5 linked regions of the Ovis aries genome follow. The protein of the gene in region 1 interacts with the protein of each later gene in a biochemical or structural test. Links are inferred from orthologs where the notes say so. Each region holds a gene or a part of one and is shown in the gene's direction. Other genes may lie near its edges.

Region 1 (3,511 bases):
CGTGCTTAAAATCCTTCAGTGGTTTGCCTTTGCATTTAAGGTAATTCACACTTCTCCGTAAGCCATCATTGATTTAGACTTGTATTCTTATCCAACCTCACCTCATTCCTTTCCTATGAAAGTGTTCATCAGATATTCTAAGCTTTTCCCTCCCTCAAAGACATTGCTCTTGGTATTGCTTCCTTCTCCCTAGAATGCGCTCCTCATCTTTTCAGTACCAGTTCAAATGCCATTTTTCAAAGAAGCTCACTTTACCTCACTATGCTATCTAAAGTAGCCAACTCCAACTTTCCCTCAGTTAATCTCTCATGATTTATTGATATTATGTTATACTGTTAGTCTGTAAGACATTACTGTCCAAAATTTTCTGGTTTGTTTTACTTGTTTACTGTCTCTTTTCCTCCTAGTCCTTCAGGGCATGTTGTAATTTCTCAAACTTGTCAAGTAAACGAAATTCCAATAGTACTAGTTTATTTTTCTTCCTGTGTAGCTTAATAAAATTGTGAGAATAAATGGCAGTATAAAGGCAAATTCAAGGAACATGGTGGACCAATTTTTATACTAGTTATGGAGTTCTGGATAATCTGTTTTCTAATCTGTAAATTGGGGAAAAGACCATCTATAAGGTTCCGTGTTTTTCTTTACTTTGGAAAGATCTTACTACAATAGTTTAGTTTTACATTCAAGGTATTAATATTACTTCACCTTTTGATACTGAGAAATTATTGGTAATGTAGAGATAGTTATCTGAAATTGGCAAACATTTGTATTACTTAAAAAAAAATTTTAACATTTTTATTATTGAATTGATATCAACTATAAAAGAGTCTCCTGGACCTACTTCTTCTTTATACAATATAATGATGGAGTAGGACAAGGAAGTCCCATCTGGATTTTAAGTTCTGTACTTCCATGAGAATGGAATTGTAGTTTTATTTTTTACTAGAATTCTCATGGAGTTATATAACCAAGTTGCCCAGCCTAAGTTATTTCTAGATTGATGGTAAAACAAGTTGTACTGAAAAAAACCACTCAGATGTTTTTTAAATTAAAATATTAACACTGCATTTGAAACAATTTTCTCATAATTAACTTTAAATAAATATTAATATATTTTGGGGTGATACTTAGTACTGAGTTTGTGGGGTTTTTTTAAGACATGTCATTCTATTCATTAAGGTACATGAATTGACTTGGATTTTTAAATTTCATTGTTTCTCCATCTCATTATTAAATAGGAAGTACCATTGGCACAAACTGCACAGCCTACATCAGCTATCGTTCGTCCAGCATCTTTACAAGTTCCCAATGTGCTGCTTACAAGTTCTGACTCAAGTGTCATTATTCAGCAGGCAGTACCTTCACCAACGTCAAGTACTGTAATCACCCAGGCACCGTCCTCCAACAGGCCAATTGTGTAAGTGATTTGGGCCAGTCATTGAATTTTCTGAATTGTTAAGTTTTTGTTTTCATGGTTTTCCTAAGACATTTAATTATTCTAATTGTGGCATTAGTTTTGTGTGTTAATCATTTTTGCATGCTTTTATTTTTGGAAAAAATGCTTGGGTAATTTTTTTTTTAATGTGAATGTTTTCTAACACATTAGAAAACATATACAGAGCTTAATTTTAAAGACAACGCAGATTGTGATTTTAAGATGGTCTCTTATTTTCATGCTATTTTACACAAAACACATAAGATTATCTTTATCACTAGATAACATTTCTTTCAGGGCTTCCCTGGTGGCTCAGATGGTAAAGAATGTGCCTGCAATGTGGGAGACCTGGGTCAGGAAGATCCCCTGGAGAAGGGAATGGCTACCCACTCCAGTATTCTTGCCTGGAGGAATCCCATGGACAGTGGAGCCTGGCAGGCTATTGTCCATGGTGTTGCAAAGAGTAAGACTCAACTGAGTGACTGACACAAAACATTTCTTTCAGTTTTTACAGGGAGCTCTCAAGAGCTTTCTGATAAGAATTTCTCTCAATTAATATATTGCAGTTTGTTCTCTAAGTAAATTCGTAGCTTTCCCCATTTTTTTTCCTTTTTTCCTATACTGCTTGCATACATTGTGCATTTAAGATGCAATTAAAACTAATTAAATTTTACAATGTGCTTTGCAGTGGTTCAGAAATGTTGGTTTAATTACTTGAGCAGCATATATACACCATGTATGATTTTTTGTGGGTATTTTGTTCATTTTATAAGAAATGGTATCAAGTTTGTATCTGTCACATGGGCATTTTCCTTGGGCTGGACCTCTTGTTCTTTTTTTTTTCTTCCAGTTTTATTGAGATATACAGTGAACGTTTAGGGCTTCCCAAGTGGCGCTAGTGGTAGAGAACCCACCTGCCAGTGCAGGAGACATAAGAGATGCTGGTTCGATCCTTGGGCCCGGAAGATCCTCTGGAGAAGGAAGTGGAAACCCACTCCAGGATTCTTGCCTGGAAAATTCCATGGACAGAGGAGCCTGGCAAGCAGCTGTAGTCCATGGGGTTGCAAAGAGTCAGACATGACTGAGCACACCACACACATACACATTACATCCCTAGTACTTATGTGTCTTCCAACTATAAGTTAGTATCTTCTGACCACCTTTGTTACCATACAGGGATGATATTACATTGTTAATGATTATATTCTTCACATTGCGAATTCATTCCTGTGACTCATTTACTTTGCAACTGGAAGTTTGTACCTCTTAATTTCTCTCATCCCTCCATTCCCTTCCCTCTGACAACCACCTGTCTGTTCTCTGTTTCTCTTCTGTTTTGTTTATTAATTTTTTAGATGTCTCCAGAAAATTTATTTTTAAATTATAATAGTAAAAATACTTTTATATTTTTTAGACATCATTGATACGGATTTCCTTTTTCTAATTGCCCTTCTTTTGTTTTCCTTAGTCCTGTACCAGGCCCATTTCCTCTTCTGTTACATCTTCCTAATGGACAAACCATGCCTGTTGCGATTCCTGCATCAATCACAAGTTCTAATGTGCATGTTCCAGCTGCAGTCCCAGTAAGTTTTTAGACTATTTAATATTTTCTTTATAGAAAACTGATCTTTATAATCAGAAAATACACTTGGGGCTGCTTGATTAGTTTATGAAACTGAATTCAACAAAATACTTAGTGTTAAGTAATATTTACTCATTGATATTTACTGTGATAGCATAAATCTTTCGAGGCAAACATAACTGGATAAATAACATTTTTCAATCCTCGAAATCTTAATTGTTTTCCTTTTATTTTTAATATTAAGAACTAATTCCTAAGGTTCAAGAGGGAGAGGACATATGTATACCTATGACTGATTTATGTTGCTGTTTGGCAGAAACCAGCAAAATTCTGTAAAGCAATTATCCTTCAATTAAAAAATAAATTAAAAAAATAAACATAAGGTTGAATTAAAAAAAAAAACTAATTCCTTATTCAACCCATTTCAATTTGCTAGATTTGTAGAATTCAAATATTAACATAGGGGACTTCCCTGGTGGTGCAGTGGCTAAGAC
Region 2 (4,278 bases), on another chromosome or scaffold:
GCGCCCAGGCACCGGGACGCGGGCGGGGCCTCCGCCAGAGCCAGAGCCAGACCAGTGCCCACCCTCACCCCGGATCTGCTTCCCGGATCCGCATCCGGGGGCCCTCACCTGCTGGGCGCGCGGAGCTGTGCCCCCACCACCTTTGATCAAGGACCCCGAGGCCCAGAGTCCTGCGGGTTGGGAAGACTTTTGCGGGTGCTTTTGCCAGGCTGAGCCCTGGGACTGGAGGAGGCAGCAACTGGACCTCGAAGTGGAGCAGCAGCCTCGGGCTGTGGAGGCTGGCCATGGGGTCGCCCCAGGCGCCAGTTCGCTTTTCGCACCTGCTTGCTGGGGGGTCTCTGTGGGTTGAATTAGGACTGAATCTGTTTCTCCAGGACTTACAAGGGACCCCAGAGTTCATCTCGCCGAATCCCGATTGATTGTTATTTAATACACATGGGTACACAGAGAGGCAAACAAGAAGTGACTTGCCAAGTTGTTTGGGATCCTGTTGATATTAACTTGTGTTTGACCCTGGTGCAGGGCACCTCTCTCAGATCCTGCCTGCTCCCTCCTCGCTCCCCCAGTCCCACTGTGCTTTCAGCAACTCACATTCCCGGTGGTGGGCATCAGCTCCTCCCAGCTTAGGCTGCTGGCCCAGAGGGATTGGGGTGAGGATGGCCGTGGCTCCCCAGATGGCCTGGCAGATGCCACCCAGGGTCTGGAGCCCTGCCTGCCTCCGGGCTGGGGCCGGGGGTGGGGGGGCGTGCTCCCTGCTGACCTGCCTTTGACCCTACAGCTCAGCCATCGACAAGCGGTCAGGGGAAAAGGTGGCCATCAAGAAGCTGAGCCGGCCCTTCCAGTCCGAGATCTTTGCCAAGCGGGCTTATCGGGAGCTGCTGCTGCTGAAACACATGCAGCATGAGAACGTAGGCTGGGCCCGGGGGCTGCTTCGGGGAGGCAGGGACGGGAGGGCAGCCCCAGAGAGGGTCCTGACCAGCCCCTCCGTGTGTGTGCACACGCGCACGCGCACACACGGAAGATACCCCAAGATGCTGACCCAACAGCGCCAGCAGAAAGGGAACCTCCTCCCTGCTCCTCTGGATCCTTGTTCCTCACCTGATTATTAAAACTATGTGCCAGGACCCACCCCGCCTACTTCCCAGGTAAGGTGCAAAGGAATTTTTGGCAGTGGAGCTGAATGAACTTGGTGTCTCACTGTTATGAGGAAATGGGCACCGAGGAACTCCGTAGTTGTTCTAGATCTGAGACCTGGTGCCCAGTATCCTGGTTAATGTTGTTTCCACATAATTACAACAAGGATAATAGAAACCTGTGAGCACTTATGTGCCAGGCACAGCTCTAAGAACTTTGCAGAAACTAGAATGTTTAATCCTCACAGTATCATATAAGTATCATTACTCCCTTATACAGACAGGGAAACTGAGGCACAGAAAGACTTACAGGTTATCAGACGAGATCAGGCACGTTCAGGGTGGTATGGCCGTGGACAGACAGATTATATGGTTAGTCAGTGGCAGAGCTGGGATCTGACCCTAGACAACCTGGCTCCAGGCCCCAGAGCCCGACCTTGAGACTGTCCTGTCTAATTGAAACAGCCAGGAAACTAGTGACCCAGTGCTGAGCCTGGCCCCTAGGCTTTGCTGCAGGATACCTGTATTGGCAGACAAGCGTTTTTAAAAATGTGCTAAGTCGCTTCCATTGTGTCCGACTCTGCGACCCCATGGACTGTGGCCCGCCAGACTCCTCTGCCCATGGGATTCTCCAGGCAAGAACACTGGAGTAGGTTGCCATTTCCTCCTCCAGGGGATCCTCCTGACCCAGGGATCAAACCCACATCTCTTGCGGCTCCTGCATTGCAGGTGGATTCTTTACTGCTAAACCACCCAGGGAAACCCAAGCATTTAAAACAATGAGTTCAAAACACTGTGCATATTTTAAGTCCCATTCCTCCTCGGGCAGCTCCTCCCCATGGCCTCCAGCTGGGAAGTCTTGCCCCAGCTCTGAATCAGCCCTTTGGCAGGCAGCGTTAGATGTGGTGAGACCCAAGGTCAAGGACAGGGAGCCTGCTGGCTGGAAGATCCCTTCTCTGTCCCCTCCTCGATTCCCTTCCCCACTCAAGGTTCCCGGCCTGAGCGGAGACTGGGTGTGCTGTTCGTCCTGACCCCAGACTTGGGGTCAGTGAGCACAGACACGTCCACCATCTCTTATCCCAGCCTGACTCTCCATCACAGTGCACTGCAAATTCCTGCCCAGGTGGAGGAATCCCTCTCCCATCTCTGCCCCTTTAACTGCTTCTTCCCAGAAGGCTGGGAACCTGCCTCCTGCTGGAGGTGCTGTTCTAGGAAAGGGCAGGTGGTCCTGTGCAGGCCTGGGGACTCAGAGGACAAATGCAGGGTGCGGCGGCTGCCTGGCCCTCACTGGCCATCTTCTCTTTAGGTCATTGGGCTCCTGGATGTCTTCACCCCAGCCTCCTCCCTGCGCAACTTCCATGACTTGTGAGTCGGGCTGTGCCGGGTTCCGGGATATTTGCAGACCTTACTTGCCACTGGGGCGGGGTGGGAGGGGCGGCGCGGGCAAGTAAGGGGAGGGTCCAGGTTCTCTCTTCTGTCCCAGGAGGCTGTATGCCTTTGGGCTGGGGAGAGATCCAGCCCAGGGTGGAGAGAACGGCTGGCCTGAAAAGGTGGGAAGGGCTTTTTACGGAGCCTGGCTGACACAGAGCTGTCTGCTCATCTGCTTTGCTTTACCCACCCTCAACACCACGGAGACATCGCCGCCAGTCCCCACACGGTTTGCATCAGCCTCCCTCACCATGTCCTGGTGCAGGTGTGGGTCTGGACTTCAGGACTCTTCCTAGAATGGAGCGAGGATCACAAAGCCTTGGCTGCCCCAGCCAATGGGGATGTTTCTCAGAATTACACAGAACACGAAAATTTAGTTGCTAAATGCACAGCTTTGCTAGTGCAGTACCTGCTAAAATTTAGGAAACTTTGAGAGGGTGGATTTTTTTTTCCAGTCCTATTTCAACTGTAGCCGCAGTTCTCTTTATTAGGATGCTTTTGTTTTCAGTTTAATGCAGTGAGTTTGAATGGATTTTCCCCCCTACAATGCCGGCTGCTGGGCTTAGCATTGGGAATTTAAAGTGGACCAGCTCCTCCAGGACGGACAGTGGTGAATACTGACAGTGATGGTCAGTGCTCTAAGTCTGGGTAGAGCCGGGAACTGCCAGCTGCCTCAGCGGGCTTCACAGAGGAGGTAACTCTGAACTCAGCTCTGAAGGATGAGTCAGTGTTTGCCTGAGGTTGAAGGGCTGAAGGCATCCCAAGGAGAAGGAACTGCGTGGACCAAGGCCATGAAGCACGTGTGAAAGAGGCTGGGCCATCCTGAGATGTGCAGTGAAGCAGTGGCTGATTTAGTTCGGCTGAGTCCAGACTTGATTCCACAGGCAGCCTCAAGGCTATAGAGGTTTTGAGCAGCGAGGTGAGGTGGTCAGATCGGATTTGGGGGATGCACTCTGGCAGCAGCAAGAAAGGACCAGGGACACAGCTCTGGGAGAACTAGACCTTGGTCTAAATGCAGTCAAGGTGACAGGGTCCCAAGAGCTGACTTGAGCCCCATCGAGAGGCAGCACTGTCAGAGTGTTGTATCCCTTGGGAGGCAGTGGTGAGGAGAGCCAGGGATGCCAGGTTCCTACTCGGAATACCAGGTGAAGGAAGAACACATCTTAGGAGAAAGATAATGAACTCCACTTTGGACACTTCAGTTTTGAAAAGCCTATGAACATTCAAGTGTTTAATCAGCAAATAAACCCAGAGTTTAGGAAGGTCTGAGCCAGGGATGTGGATTTGGGCCTGAATAATCACTGGTGGATGAGAGCCGAAGCCCAGGGACAGGCCAGTGTAGAGCCTGCTGCGATGCTGTGGGTTAAGATACCAACATGAAAGAGAAGCTACACGAGAATGTGCAGGCAGAGAGCTGAGGCCGCCTGCCCAGAGGTAGGATTCGCAGAAAATCTTGAGGGGGTGTCAAGCTTTGCACAAGTTCCAGTAGAAAGAAAGGGAGTCGTGGGTGTGTGCTCTGGGCTGGTGGGGCAGGAACAGACACCCTGTTGTCAGGGAACTGTGCATTAAGGCAGTGGGGTGGACAGGTGAGGACCACTCTTTCTAGAAGTTTGATCAGGAGGGAAAGAGAGAGAAGGAGTGGGGTACGCGAAGAAATAAGGTTAAGGGAGGGTGGTTGTGGCACCGCAGGACGTCAGTGAGCTTGTAAGCGGAAAAG
Region 3 (3,964 bases), on another chromosome or scaffold:
ACTCTCCCATCATTTCACACCTTCAGACCTGCTGGAACCAGATCCAGAGGCTAGCTGGGGGAGACACCTCTGAAGAAGGTCACTGCCAACAAATCACAGGTCCTAGGGGCCCTCAGCATTGCACTCCCTTCCCTCCATGTATGACTCTGCCATTCTCTTCTGAGAAGACCCAGGAATGAATGCTCCTTTGTAAAACCACAGCTCTGACAGCCAGACCTCCTGAGTTTCCCATAATCCTTGATGGTGGCAATTTTTGTTCAAGTGGCTTGAACTCTGCTCCAGGCTCACCAGCCAGTCTTCTCCCCTCTGTCACTGACCTGCCAGGGCCAGAGGCCTGCACATGGCCATCTCCTCCCATGTCCCTCCTCGGCTTCTGGCTGCTGCTGCTGCTGCTGCTAAGTCGCTTCAGTCGTGTCCGACTCTGTGCGACCCCACAGACGGCAGCCCACCAGGCTCCCCCGTCCCTGGGATTCTCCAGACAAGAACACTGGAGTGGGTTGCCATTTCCTTCTCCAATGCATGAAAGTGAAAAGTGAAAGTGAAGTCGCTCAGTCGAGTCCGACTCTTCGCGACCCCATGGACTGCAGCTTTCCAGGCTCCTCCGTCCATGGGATTTTCCAGGCAAGAGTGATGGAGTGGGTTGCCATTGCTTCTGGCAGCAACCCTGAAACTGCTTCACAGTGAGCAAAGGAATCCAAGGTCCATTCCCCTCGTCTCCACGTCCTCGCCGCCTCCGCCTCCCAGTCCTGGACGCCAAGGCCGCGGCTTCCCCTCGCCCTGGCCCTCCCCTCATGGACCTTCTCCGCCTTCCTCCAGGCCGACTCGCCGCTGTCAGTCTGCACCTGCAAGCCCAGAGGCCCGGCTTTCGGTCCCGTCAGTACCCCTTTCCATCGCCTCCCAGCGCGGTGCTCGGCTGCCGCGCCGCGGGCACCGGTAAAGCGCAGTCGGCGCGCCGAGCCCGGCCTGCGTCATAAGGAAGCGGAGCGATCAGCTGCGCGGCCGCCAAGCGCCGCTCCCCGAAGACCTGGTCAACCAGCGCCGGGCTCGGCCCGCCTCCCCTCCGGAGCCGCCCGGCAGTAGCCCCAGCCCCGCGCGCGCGCGATTGGCCGCGCCCGCCCAGCTCTCCGCGCGCTGATTGGCCGGCGCGCGGGTCGGTCAGACCGGGCGCCGCGGCGGCGGCTGCAGCGGAGGAGAAGCAATCCAGACCGGAAGGGTCCTAGGCGCCCCGGCGCCCCTCACAGCCTTTGCGGCGGCGGCGACGGCGGCGGCGGGGCGGAGCGGAGCAGAGCGGGGCGGGGCGGCCAGGCGAGCCCGGGGCAGCGGAGCCGCGAGCAGCTAGCGCGCTGCGCCGCCAGTCCGCCCGCCTGCCCTCTCCCTCTGGCGCGGCGGCGGGGAGGCGAGGTGAGCCCGGCCGGCGGGTTAGGCCCAGCGGGGACTCTGGGACCGAGCCTCGCCGGGGAGGGGCGGCGGGAAGGCCGCGAGGCCAGGCTCCGCGGGGACAGGGGGGTGCGGAGCGGGAGGACCGGGTTCTGTGGGGTCTGCGGGGTGCTGGCGACCCCGGCCGCAGCCCCTCTTCCTCCAGGCTGCCGCAGTCACCCCCTTACGCCCGGCTGTCCGCGCCCCAGAGCTGCGGGCTCGCTCCCTGCTCTGGCCCCGGCAGACCTGCTGTAGGGTCTGTGGGCGCCCCCTCCCCCGCCCCGATTGTTTGGCACCCAGCTGCATACCTCCTCCCGGATGCTCAGAGCCTGGGATCTGATTCCTGCGACCTTGGCGAAGGCACTGATCCTTGCTGTTCCTCTGTTTTCCCCTCGGCAAAGTGGGGGAAATGTCTACCCTTTTGGACAGGATTGTTGTCAAGCTCTATGAATGTGTGTGAAAGCCCCTGGGCGGGAGCCCGCCCGGTGCACACTTGTGGAAAATGAGCGGGATACTGCTCCTTGCTGGCTTGAGTGTAGCAGAGTCCGCCCAGAGTCCCCCATCCTCATGCTCCCCAAGTGCCTTGTCATTGCATACTCAGTGCCCAGCAGTGCCTGAGCGGGCCCTGACCAGCTCACCCCCAACAAGTCCCCCAACCCGGAGCAGTGGTCTCCTAACCTACCCATCTTACTGGCCTTGAACATTCAGCCCTGTTTACCTCAGGACCTTTGCACTTGTATCCAGTGATTGGAGTTGCCTCCCGGATCTTTGCACAGCTGACTCCTTCTGGTCCTTCTCACATGTTCCAATTTACAGAATCCTTTCCTTGACCTCTCTTTCTCCTCCTTTAGTCTTTCTGTCTCATTACATTAATTTTCTTCCCAGTATCTGGTTTGAAACTATTCTGTTGATTCGCCTGTTTATTTTCTGTCTCTCCCATTAGGATTATAGCTTTCTGAAAACAGGTAGTTGTCTGATTTGTCCACTGCTTTATCCCCAGTGCTTAGAAAGCACACAGTAAGTATTCAGTAATATCAGTTAAGTGAGTAAGTGAGTGAATGAATGACCCTGCCAGCCTGTTGCCTCTGCTTTCTCTGTTTAGTGACTTCTGACTAACTTGTGAAACTTACATGCAGATGATAGGTTGCTTTAGTTTTGTGGAACATTTTAATGTCCTTGACCCTTTTATTTGGTAACTATCAGAACAAGCTGTAATATAAAATCTGACATTTTTATAATGTTTTCGCTCTAACTTCCTTCCTCGCATTCAGGACATATTGACTGAATTCTACATTATCCAGGTCAGCTTTCTGCTCGGCCCTGGGGACACAAAGGCAGTAGCAACAGGGTCCCTTCCTCCAGAGAGCCCAAGAGCCCAGTAGAGAAAGGAGACATGCAGACAGTGCTCGGACAGCTTGCTGTATAGCAGGGCTGTGCTGTGGAAACTTGGAGGAGGCGGTGGTGCTTGGCTGGTGCTGGAGTTGGCTTGAATGGTGATGAGAAACTTGTCAGGTCTAGGGGAAGACAAGACGTGGGGAAGGGCAGGGTGAAGGAAGAACTTCAGCCCAATCAGTTGAGTTCACTCGCTCAATCATGTCGCTGTTTGGGACCCCATGGACTGCAGCACACCAGGCTTCCTTGTCCATCACCAACTCCCAGGGCTTGCTTGAACTCATGTTCATCAAGTCGGTGATGCCATCCAACCATCTCGTCCTCTGTCATCCCCTTCTCCAATATTCAGCCCAATGTTGGGGTCAAAAACCAGCCTGTGGGGCCAGGTGTGAGAGATTAGAGTAGTGGAGACCCTGGAGAACCAGACACCACTTACCCAGCAATTTTTAGAAAGAAGCCAGAACTTGAGATTTGTATCTGCACTCTCTTCATGTTCAATTGTTGGCAGTAGCTTATTTTAAAATGTTTTCAGTGCTGTGAGCCAAGCAAAATGCAGACCTCATTCAGTTTTATTTCAGGATTGTCGGACTCCGGACTTCAAGGCAGGTTGTTTAGGAGGGAAGAGTTGCAGTGAGCTAGAAGGGTAGCCCACGACTAGGGCAGCTCGGCCCTGTTTGTCCAGGAACTCTCTTTTGGCACTGGAGCCCTGCGATAGCAGCTAGGAAGCCTGCTAGCCTCCACTTTCTACACAGGAGGAAGCAGAGGCTCCCAGGGTTTCGGCAGTCTGTTTTGTAGCAAGCAGCTGGAAAGTGAAATTTGAACCCAGGTCTCCCGCAGATCAGCATTCTTTCCTGAGTCCCTTAGCTCTGAGTATTCTCTTTGGCTCTTAGTTTGTTCTGGAAGAATAAAATCCAATCTAGATATCGTTTCCCTTCATTTATCCCTTTTTTTCCCCTTCAAGAGGATCCTACAGGGTTAAAAACAATCCTATTTTGGCATAGTCTGTCGCTGAAGAGCGTTCTTTTCCTGAGTTTCTTGAGGAGAATCCACTCCTGAGAACTTAACTTTTCAGGATGCCACTTTAAATAATTTGTTGACAGATTAAAATGTGTTTATTTGGCCTTCCTAAATAAATGTTAGAAGGTACACCTCAATT
Region 4 (3,963 bases), on another chromosome or scaffold:
TATTCTACTCACTCGCTGCGTGACTTTTGGCAAGTGTCTGCTGCTCTCGGACTTGTTTTCCCGGAAGCAAATCGGGGCGGGAGGAGTGGCGTGTGCGTGTGTGTGTGTTTGTGTGTACATGTGATGTGCGGTGTGTCTATGCATGTTGTGCGGGGGCGGAGAGTAGACTATCACCGGGGTTCCCCGAGTTTCGGATTCTCCAAACGCTCGTTCAAACTAGACGCCGAGTTGCCCCTTAAATCCACCTCCTGTAAGAAACCTTTCCGAGGCAAAGATGCGAACCCCCGCACCCTTTCTCCCACGGTCGGGAGGGTGAGGTGGGAGTGCGGAGGGGACTTAGCCGAACACCCAGTTTCAAGCAATGCAAATCACTGGACTTCCAGACAGAGCCAGACAGTCGCTACTGAACTTGACCAGGAGACAAACTTCAGGGCATTCTCAACGTGGGGGGCCGACTCTCACGAACTGCCCCCAAATTTAAAAGCCACTTTCACTCGCCCCCACAGGGGACTTAACAGAGCCACCTTAAGGGCGGTGCTCCCGCCCCCCGGAAGTGCGGGGGGGCCAGGAACCCAGGCGCTCAACGGGCCCGGCCCGCCCCGAGCGGCGGCGAAGTGCCCGCGGGTGACATCGAACCCCCAAGTGGGGAAATACCACCCGCCCCGCGCCCTCGGCCCCAGACACCTGGCTCGGTTCCCCTGGCCTCCTGGGTCCTAGCATCCCTGGCATTCCCATCCGAGCCCTAAACTTCAGCCCACTTCCCTCAGAGGCTGGGAGCGCCGGAGTCCGCCCGGCTCGCGGCAGCCACCGTCACTAGACAGTCAAACCCCAAGACGTCAGCCCACAATGCACCGGGCGGGCCGGGAAAGACGCGTCGGGGAGGGAGGGGGAAGAGAGGGGCGCGAGTCGCGCGGAGCGGGTTGGGGGGAGGAGGAGAAAGAAGGGCCCAACTGTAGGAGGGCAACGGAGCATTACCTCATCCCGTGAGCCTCCGCGGGCCCAGAGAAGAATCTTCTAGGGTGGGGTCTCCATGGCGACGGGTGGGCCCGCCCCCCTGAGAGCGACGCGAGCCAATGGGAAGGCCTTGGGGTGACATCATGGGCTATTTTTAGGGGTTGACTGGTAGCAGATAAGTGTTGCGCTCCGGCTGGATAAGGGCTCAGAGTTGCACTGAGTGTGGCTGAAGCTGCGAGGCGGGAGTGGAGGTGCGCGGACGCAGGCAGGCAGACAGGCACAGTCAGTCGAGAAGGACAGCAAATCCTATTTTCCAATTTCTCTCCAACTGCCCGGAGCTAGCGCTTGTGGCTCCCGGCCTGGTGTTTTGGGGAGCGCCGGGAGAGCCCCTTCGCCAGCCGCCCCCAGGCGGAGAGCCCCGCTGCGCGGGCGCTGCTGACAGCGCGGAGAGCGGCCACTGTCCGCCCGGGGAAGTCCGGAGAGCGGCTGCAGCGGCAAGAACTTTCCCGGCCAGGAAGACAGGAGACAAGTGGCCGCCGGGTCCCGGAACGAACTTTTGCAAATCTTGCCTCCGCCCGAAGCTGCCGCGGCGGCGGTGAAGAAAAAGAGGCGGCGGAGAGAGGAGGACGTGCGCTCCGCTTCGCTCGCACCGGTTGCTGAACTTGGGCGAGCGCGAGCCGCGGCTGCCGGGCGCCCCCTCCCCCTCTCAGCGGAGGAGGGGACAGTCTTCCGAGTCGGGGCGGCGGACACCCGCCGCCGGCAGGCAAACGCGGGGTCCGCGCTCCCTGCTATCACCGGGAAGCGAGTTCGTCCGCGGGCTCTGAGGAACCGCTGCGCTCGAGAGAGCTCCGTGAGTGACCGCGACTTTTCAAAGCCGGGCGGCGCGCGCGAGCGGACAAGTAAGAGCGCGGGCGGCGTCTTAACCCTGCGATCCCCCGGACCGAGCTGGTGAGGAGGGCGCCGGGGGCGGGGGCTGCCAGCCGGCGGGGGCGCGCGCTCTTCCAGAAACTTTCCTTGCTCACTGCCCGGGGAGGCGCGGGTGTCCCCCGCTTGCCAGCGCGCTGTTGCGGCCCCGAAACTTCTGCGCGCAGCTTAAACTAAGCCCACGCGAAGTGACGGACTGTTCTATGACTGCAAAGATGGAAACGACCTTCTACGACGATGCCCTCAACGCCTCGTTCCTCCAGTCTGAGAGCGGCGCCTACGGCTACAGTAACCCCAAGATTCTGAAGCAGAGCATGACCCTGAATCTGGCCGACCCGGTGGGCAGCCTGAAGCCGCACCTCCGGGCCAAGAACTCCGACCTCCTCACCTCGCCCGACGTTGGGCTGCTCAAGCTGGCGTCGCCCGAGCTGGAGCGCCTGATCATACAGTCCAGCAACGGGCATATCACCACCACGCCGACCCCCACCCAGTTCCTGTGCCCCAAGAACGTGACGGACGAGCAGGAGGGATTCGCCGAGGGCTTCGTGCGCGCCCTGGCCGAACTGCACAGCCAGAACACGCTGCCCAGCGTCACGTCGGCGGCGCAGCCGGTCAGCGGGGCGGGCCTGGTGGCCCCGGCGGTGGCCTCGGTGGCGGGCGGCAGCGGCAGCGGCGGCTTCAGCGCCAGCCTGCACAGCGAGCCGCCGGTCTACGCCAACCTCAGCAACTTCAACCCCGGCGCGCTGAGCAGCGGCGGCGGGGCGCCCTCCTACGGCGCGGCTGGCCTGGCCTTTCCCGCGCAGCCCCAGCAGCAGCAGCAGCAACCACCGCAGCCGCCGCACCACCTGCCCCAGCAGATACCCGTGCAGCACCCGCGGCTGCAGGCCCTGAAGGAAGAGCCGCAGACGGTGCCCGAGATGCCCGGGGAAACGCCGCCCCTGTCCCCCATCGACATGGAGTCCCAGGAGCGGATCAAGGCGGAGAGGAAGCGCATGAGGAACCGCATCGCTGCTTCCAAGTGCCGGAAAAGGAAGCTGGAGAGGATCGCGCGGCTGGAGGAAAAAGTGAAAACCTTGAAAGCGCAGAACTCGGAGCTGGCGTCCACCGCCAATATGCTCAGGGAACAGGTGGCCCAGCTTAAACAAAAAGTCATGAACCACGTTAACAGCGGGTGCCAACTCATGCTAACGCAGCAGTTGCAAACGTTTTGAGGCGAGACTGTCGGGGGCTGAGGGGCAACGGAGAAAAAATATAAATAACACAGAGAGACAGATTTGAGAACTTGACAAGTTGCGAGAGAGAAACAGAGAAAAAAACAAAAGTGTCCGAGGACTAAAGCCAAGGGTATCCAAGTTGGACTGGGTTGCGTCCTGACGGCGCCCCCAGTGTGCACGAGTGGGAAGGACTTGGCGCGCCCTCCCTTGGCGAGGAGCCAGGGAACGGCCGCTCGCGGGCTGCCCGGGTTTGCGGACGGGCTGTCCCCGCGCAAACAGAACGTTAGACTTTTCTTTAACGTTGACCAAGAACTGCATGGACCTAACATTCGATCTCATTCAGTATTAAAGGGGTGGGGTGGGGGAGGGGGTTGCAAACTGCAATAGAGACTGTAGATCGCTTCTGTAGTACTCCTTAAGAACACAAAGGGGGTGGGGGAGGGGAGGCGGGAGGGAGGTTTGTGAGAGCGAGGCCCAGCCTGCAGATGAGCTCTTTCTGGCCTGCCTTCCATAACTGTGTATGTACATATATATATTTTTTAATTTGATGAAAGCTGATTACTGTCAATAAACAGCTTCATGCCTTTGTAAGTTATTCATGTTTGTTTGTTTGGGTGTCCTGCCCAGCCTTGTTTGTAAATAAGAGATTTGGAGCACTCTGAGTTTACCATTTGTAATAAAGTATATAATTTTTTTTATGTTTTGTTTCTGAAAATTCCAGAAAGGATATTTAAGAAAATACAATAAAATATTGAAAAAGTTACCCCTCCCCCAACCTCTTTTCTGCATTATCTATAGATTACTTGTCTAGGTGGAGTTGAAAGAGTTGAGTGTCAATTAAAATCACTGTGGGTGCTTCTTACTAGCAGGC
Region 5 (4,090 bases), on another chromosome or scaffold:
GCCCCTTCAGTGGCAGCAGCCGGTGCGAACTGCACCTTCCAGGGGCAGAGAGGAAATGCCCTGCGCGGGGGGGAGGGGGGGGAAGTTCGCAGTTCGAGACCCCGCAGTACCTGGGAAAGTCAGAGTGGGCTTCCTGGAGGAGGTCACAGCTGAGGGGGCTACTTCAGCAGGAGGACGGGTACCAGGCCCCAAAGAGGGCCCAGGTGAGGAAAGATTCCTGAGTCCAGCCCTCCCATTCCCCCCGGCGCCGCCGCTGTCCCTGGTCCTGAGGGCGGGTCTCCGGGCCGGCCCAGCAGTTGCGCTTCCCCCAGGGTGCGGCTGAGCCCGGCCCAGGAGCCGCCGCTGCAGAAGGCCTCACCAGGTCGGGGAAGCTTTACTAGGAAGCGAACCACACGGCCAAGGCCGGATGGCCAAACGGGAAGGGAAGCGAGGCCGACCCAGAGTCCAAGGCGCCGCCATCGGCCCACGCGGAAGGGACCCTACCCAACCAAATGCCTAGCTTTTATTGGGGGTATGTAAATATTCATTTACATATTTATCTGAAAAATATGTATATGAATATAAATATATATATGTCCCATGGTTCGCCCTGGCTTCTCTGATTTAGAGGATTCTGCCTTCATTCCAGGAGGAGCTCGCTGGGGGAGGGGAGGGGTGCAAGGCCCGGATGAGGAGCCGGGAGAGGAGGGGTGCCCGCCCCGAGCAGGCTGGAGCGGGGAGACGCAGGACTCAGAGCAGGCGGGTGGAGGAGTGCGGGCGAAGGCAGGTGGGCAGGGGTGGCGCCCTGGGTGCCGGCACGGGAGGGTGCGGGGAGCCGAGCCCGGGAGGTGGCAGCGGCCCGGCCCGGGCGGTGCCGCGCCGAGGACGGACGCGGCGCGCTTGGGGGAGGCGCGCGGTCCCCGGGAGGAGGCCGCGGGCGGAGCCAGGAGCCGTTCCACGGCCGCCGCCCTCCCCTCCCCGGGAAGGCCGCTTTCCGCCCAGCCGCCGCCCAGGGCCGGCTGGAAGCCGCGCGTCCGTCTGCGGGAACCCCCTCCCTGGCCCCGCCCCGCCCCGCCTCCCGCAGCCGGCTGGGGCTCCGCGGGGCGCCGGGAGCGGGGCGGGGCGCGCGCCGAGCTGCGGCCGCTCCGGAGATGTCGGGCCCGCGCGCCGGCTTCTACCGGCTGGAGCTGAACAAGACGCTGTGGGAGGTGCCGCAGCGGCTGCAGGGGCTGCGCCCGGTGGGCTCGGGCGCCTACGGCTCAGTCTGGTAGGGGCGGGCTGGGGCGGGGGGGGGGTCTCCGCGCGCGCCCCTCCCCCCGGTGCGGGGTTCCGACGCGGGGAGGGGCTCGCCCTGCCTCCATCCCCGGGCCTTACGCGGATCCGAGGAATGAACGTGGGGCGGGGGCGCGAGGGAAGCTTCCCCGGCGCCTCTCCCTGGCCGGGGAAGGGGCCTCCCTCTGCCCCTCCAGCCCGGGAGTCCTCCTCCGGGTCTGAATCTGCGGCGTCACAGCTGGCGAAAGGGCCGGTCTCCGTGGCCCTGGATGTGTGAGCAGGCATCTGGGGTTCCCCGGTCAAGGGTCAGGCAACCCTGGGCTCCGATAGATACCCCCGCCCCAGGGTGGGTAGTTTTGCTTGAAAAAGAAGAGCCCTGCTTGGGGGTGGGGCGCCAAGATCCCTGCCTAAGAATGACCTCCAGCTCCTCCGTGAGCCCTGTCCCCTCCCCCGTTGTCCAAGGGGTCTCAGACTCCGAATGGGGTTCAGGCCTGATCAGAGAAGGCTACCATCCCCCACGGTCTTTAGGGGGTCTACACCCCTCCCCATTTTTGCCCCAACCAAGAGAGACCCTGGGGCCTAGACAGGAGGGAGGGTGGGCCTGGGGAGGCCTCTGGACCTGGTGGGGCCCGTCAGGGCTTGCAGGAGCTTCAGTGTTGACAGTGAGGCCAGTTGTGGGTGTGGATGTTGAAGGGTGCCCCCCCAGTCCAGAACCGGTGAGGTGCCAGGTGTCTGTGGGGGCATCGGTATAGGCAGGCAGGCCCCCAGGGGAGAGTTGTTCCTCTAGGACGCGGCAGAAGGTTCCAAGTGGGACTCTTCAGATCACTCCCAGGGCCCAGCGCTGGAGCCTGGAGAAGGGGTTTGGGGTCTCCTGGGCCTCAGGCCTCATGCTGTCACTGGCCAGTCATCGGGAACCCCAGGCCACTCCAGCCGCCCCAGCCAGCGGGCCCTGGCTTCCCCCTAAGGCCTCAGTGGCAGGAGAGGGTGTGTGTGTGTGGCCCCTGGAGGGGGCTGACAGACCCTGCTGGAAGCGGGCCCCCAGGCAGGTGTCACTCCTGGGCTCCCTCCCTCCTCAGATGAGGCTGATGGCCTGGTGTCAATCCCCACAGTCCTCTGCTGACCCTGCAGACAGAAAAGGGTCTGCTCACCTCCCCTGTGAGGGGCAACTCCCCCTGACTCCCACCCCAGAGCGGCTTTCCTCCACCATCGCCCACGAGCATCCCGCCTGCTGCAGGAGGCTCCCTGCGTCGGCGTGGAGGGGTGGGGTGACTGCACAGGACAGCTCGCTGGAGGGAAGGTGGATCCTGAGACAGCGGTGGAGCGGGAGGGCAGCGGGCACACTGAGCAGCTGGGCAGGGAGGCTGCAGGTCTGGGCCTCCGGGGAGTGGGGCTGCAGGAGGGGAAGCGCTCTGGGGACGCCACCCTCTGCTGGACATCCCTACTGTCTAGCCTCTCACTGCCACAGACGGGGATGCAACACACGCCTTTGGTCAGGTTCTCCTCTACGTGTTGAACATTCCGGGGCTTTGGGCGTGGCTTTGGGACCCCTCAGCGGCCTCCCAGCCCCCGTGGCCCACAGGGAGCTGGAGGAACATCCACTCTGGCAACAAGATTCTGGCTGTTTCCCTGGGGTGGCATTTGCACCCTGAGTTGGAGGCAAGAGTCAGGAGAAATTCAGGTGGGCTCAGGAGGCCGGAAGTCAGGGGGTCAGCGGAAGGGGACCTGCCTCTGGAGGAAGGAGCAAGACCCCAGGAGGGGGCCTTCCCTGGTGGTCCAGTGGCTAAGATGCCCTCCTTCCAATGCGGGGAGGCCAGAGTTCAAGCCCTGGTCGGGGGACTAGACCCCACATGCCTCAACTAGGACCTAGCACAGCCAAACAAATATTTTAAAAAAAGAAGACCCCAGGAGGGAGGGGAGAGCCTGGGAGCGAGTGGGGTCTCATGCCTGTGCTGGTGGCCTTCTGGCCAGTGACCGAGGCAGGGCCTGACGCGCGGCCTTGCAGCTCAGCCTACGACACACGGCTGCGCCAGAGGGTGGCGGTGAAGAAGCTGTCGCGGCCCTTCCAGTCTCTGATCCACGCGCGGAGGACCTACCGGGAGCTGCGGCTGCTCAAACACCTGAAGCACGAGAACGTGAGCGGGCGGGCGGGCGAGCGGGGCGGGGGGCGCCGCGCGCGGGGCCGCGCAGCTCTGACTCCCCGCGCCCCCAGGTCATCGGGCTGCTGGACGTGTTCACGCCGGCCACCTCCCTCGAGGATTTCAGCGAAGTGTGAGCGGCGTCGGCGGGGCGGGGGGCGCGGGGGCGGCGGGGGCGCGGGGCGGGGGCCGGGCGGGGCGGCGCGCGGGCGCGGGGTTCATTCCCGGCCGCACCCAGGTACCTGGTGACCACGCTGATGGGCGCCGACCTGAACAACATCGTCAAGTGCCAGGCGCTGAGTGACGAGCACGTCCAGTTCCTCGTGTACCAGCTGCTGCGCGGGCTAAAGGTGGGCGCGGAGCGGGAGCGGGAGGCGGCGCGGGGGCCAGCGCCTGACGCCCCGCCGTCTCCCCCTCGCAGTACATCCACTCGGCCGGGATCATCCACCGGGTAGGTGCGGTGCGCGGAGGCGGCGGTGGTCCTGCGCCAGGGACTCTGCCGGCCTCTCACCGCGCCCGCCCGCCCCGCAGGACCTGAAGCCCAGCAACGTGGCCGTGAACGAGGACTGCGAGCTGCGGGTGAGCTCCCGGGGCAGGGGCTGGGAGGCGGCTGCGGGGAGGTGGAGACCCTCGGGGCTGAAGCCGGGGGTCGCCGTAGATCCTGGACTTCGGACTGGCGCGCCAGGCAGACGAGGAGATGACTG

What was found.
Region 2: of the proteins of ATF2 (region 1) and MAPK13, one has a biochemical effect on the other in vitro, tested with the Homo sapiens proteins (2 studies listed by BioGRID and IntAct). The link is inferred for Ovis aries from reciprocal best matches to the Homo sapiens genes ATF2 and MAPK13.
Region 3: of the proteins of ATF2 (region 1) and MAPK9, one has a biochemical effect on the other in vitro, tested with the Homo sapiens proteins (4 studies listed by BioGRID and IntAct, with this or other methods). The link is inferred for Ovis aries from reciprocal best matches to the Homo sapiens genes ATF2 and MAPK9.
Region 4: the proteins of ATF2 (region 1) and JUN form a complex in vitro, tested with the Homo sapiens proteins (4 studies listed by BioGRID and IntAct, with this or other methods). The link is inferred for Ovis aries from reciprocal best matches to the Homo sapiens genes ATF2 and JUN.
Region 5: of the proteins of ATF2 (region 1) and MAPK11, one has a biochemical effect on the other in vitro, tested with the Homo sapiens proteins (4 studies listed by BioGRID and IntAct). The link is inferred for Ovis aries from reciprocal best matches to the Homo sapiens genes ATF2 and MAPK11.

The regions. Positions count from the first base shown.
Region 1 is NC_056055.1:134,980,380-134,983,890, forward strand, and holds part of ATF2 (cyclic AMP-dependent transcription factor ATF-2), read left to right. Parts: intron 1-1,238; coding exon 1,239-1,417; intron 1,418-2,903; coding exon 2,904-3,018; intron 3,019-3,511. UniProt on the Homo sapiens protein: Transcriptional activator which regulates the transcription of various genes, including those involved in anti-apoptosis, cell growth, and DNA damage response.
Region 2 is NC_056073.1:10,181,788-10,186,065, forward strand, and holds the start of MAPK13 (mitogen-activated protein kinase 13), read left to right. Parts: upstream 1-1,476; 5' UTR 1,477-1,723; coding exon 1,724-1,768; intron 1,769-2,439; coding exon 2,440-2,498; intron 2,499-4,278. UniProt on the Homo sapiens protein: Serine/threonine kinase which acts as an essential component of the MAP kinase signal transduction pathway.
Region 3 is NC_056058.1:713,800-717,763, forward strand, and holds the start of MAPK9 (mitogen-activated protein kinase 9), read left to right. Parts: upstream 1-1,157; 5' UTR 1,158-1,401; intron 1,402-3,964. UniProt on the Homo sapiens protein: Serine/threonine-protein kinase involved in various processes such as cell proliferation, differentiation, migration, transformation and programmed cell death.
Region 4 is NC_056054.1:33,493,862-33,497,824, reverse strand, and holds JUN (transcription factor Jun), read left to right. Parts: upstream 1-1,161; 5' UTR 1,162-2,081; coding exon 2,082-3,089; 3' UTR 3,090-3,855; downstream 3,856-3,963. UniProt on the Homo sapiens protein: Transcription factor that recognizes and binds to the AP-1 consensus motif 5'-TGA[GC]TCA-3'.
Region 5 is NC_056056.1:225,554,456-225,558,545, reverse strand, and holds the start of MAPK11 (mitogen-activated protein kinase 11), read left to right. Parts: upstream 1-1,280; 5' UTR 1,281-2,138; coding exon 2,139-2,548; intron 2,549-3,219; coding exon of another isoform or gene 3,220-3,253; coding exon 3,254-3,383; intron 3,384-3,460; coding exon 3,461-3,519; intron 3,520-3,624; coding exon 3,625-3,736; intron 3,737-3,807; coding exon 3,808-3,837; intron 3,838-3,917; coding exon 3,918-3,965; intron 3,966-4,044; coding exon 4,045-4,090. UniProt on the Homo sapiens protein: Serine/threonine kinase which acts as an essential component of the MAP kinase signal transduction pathway.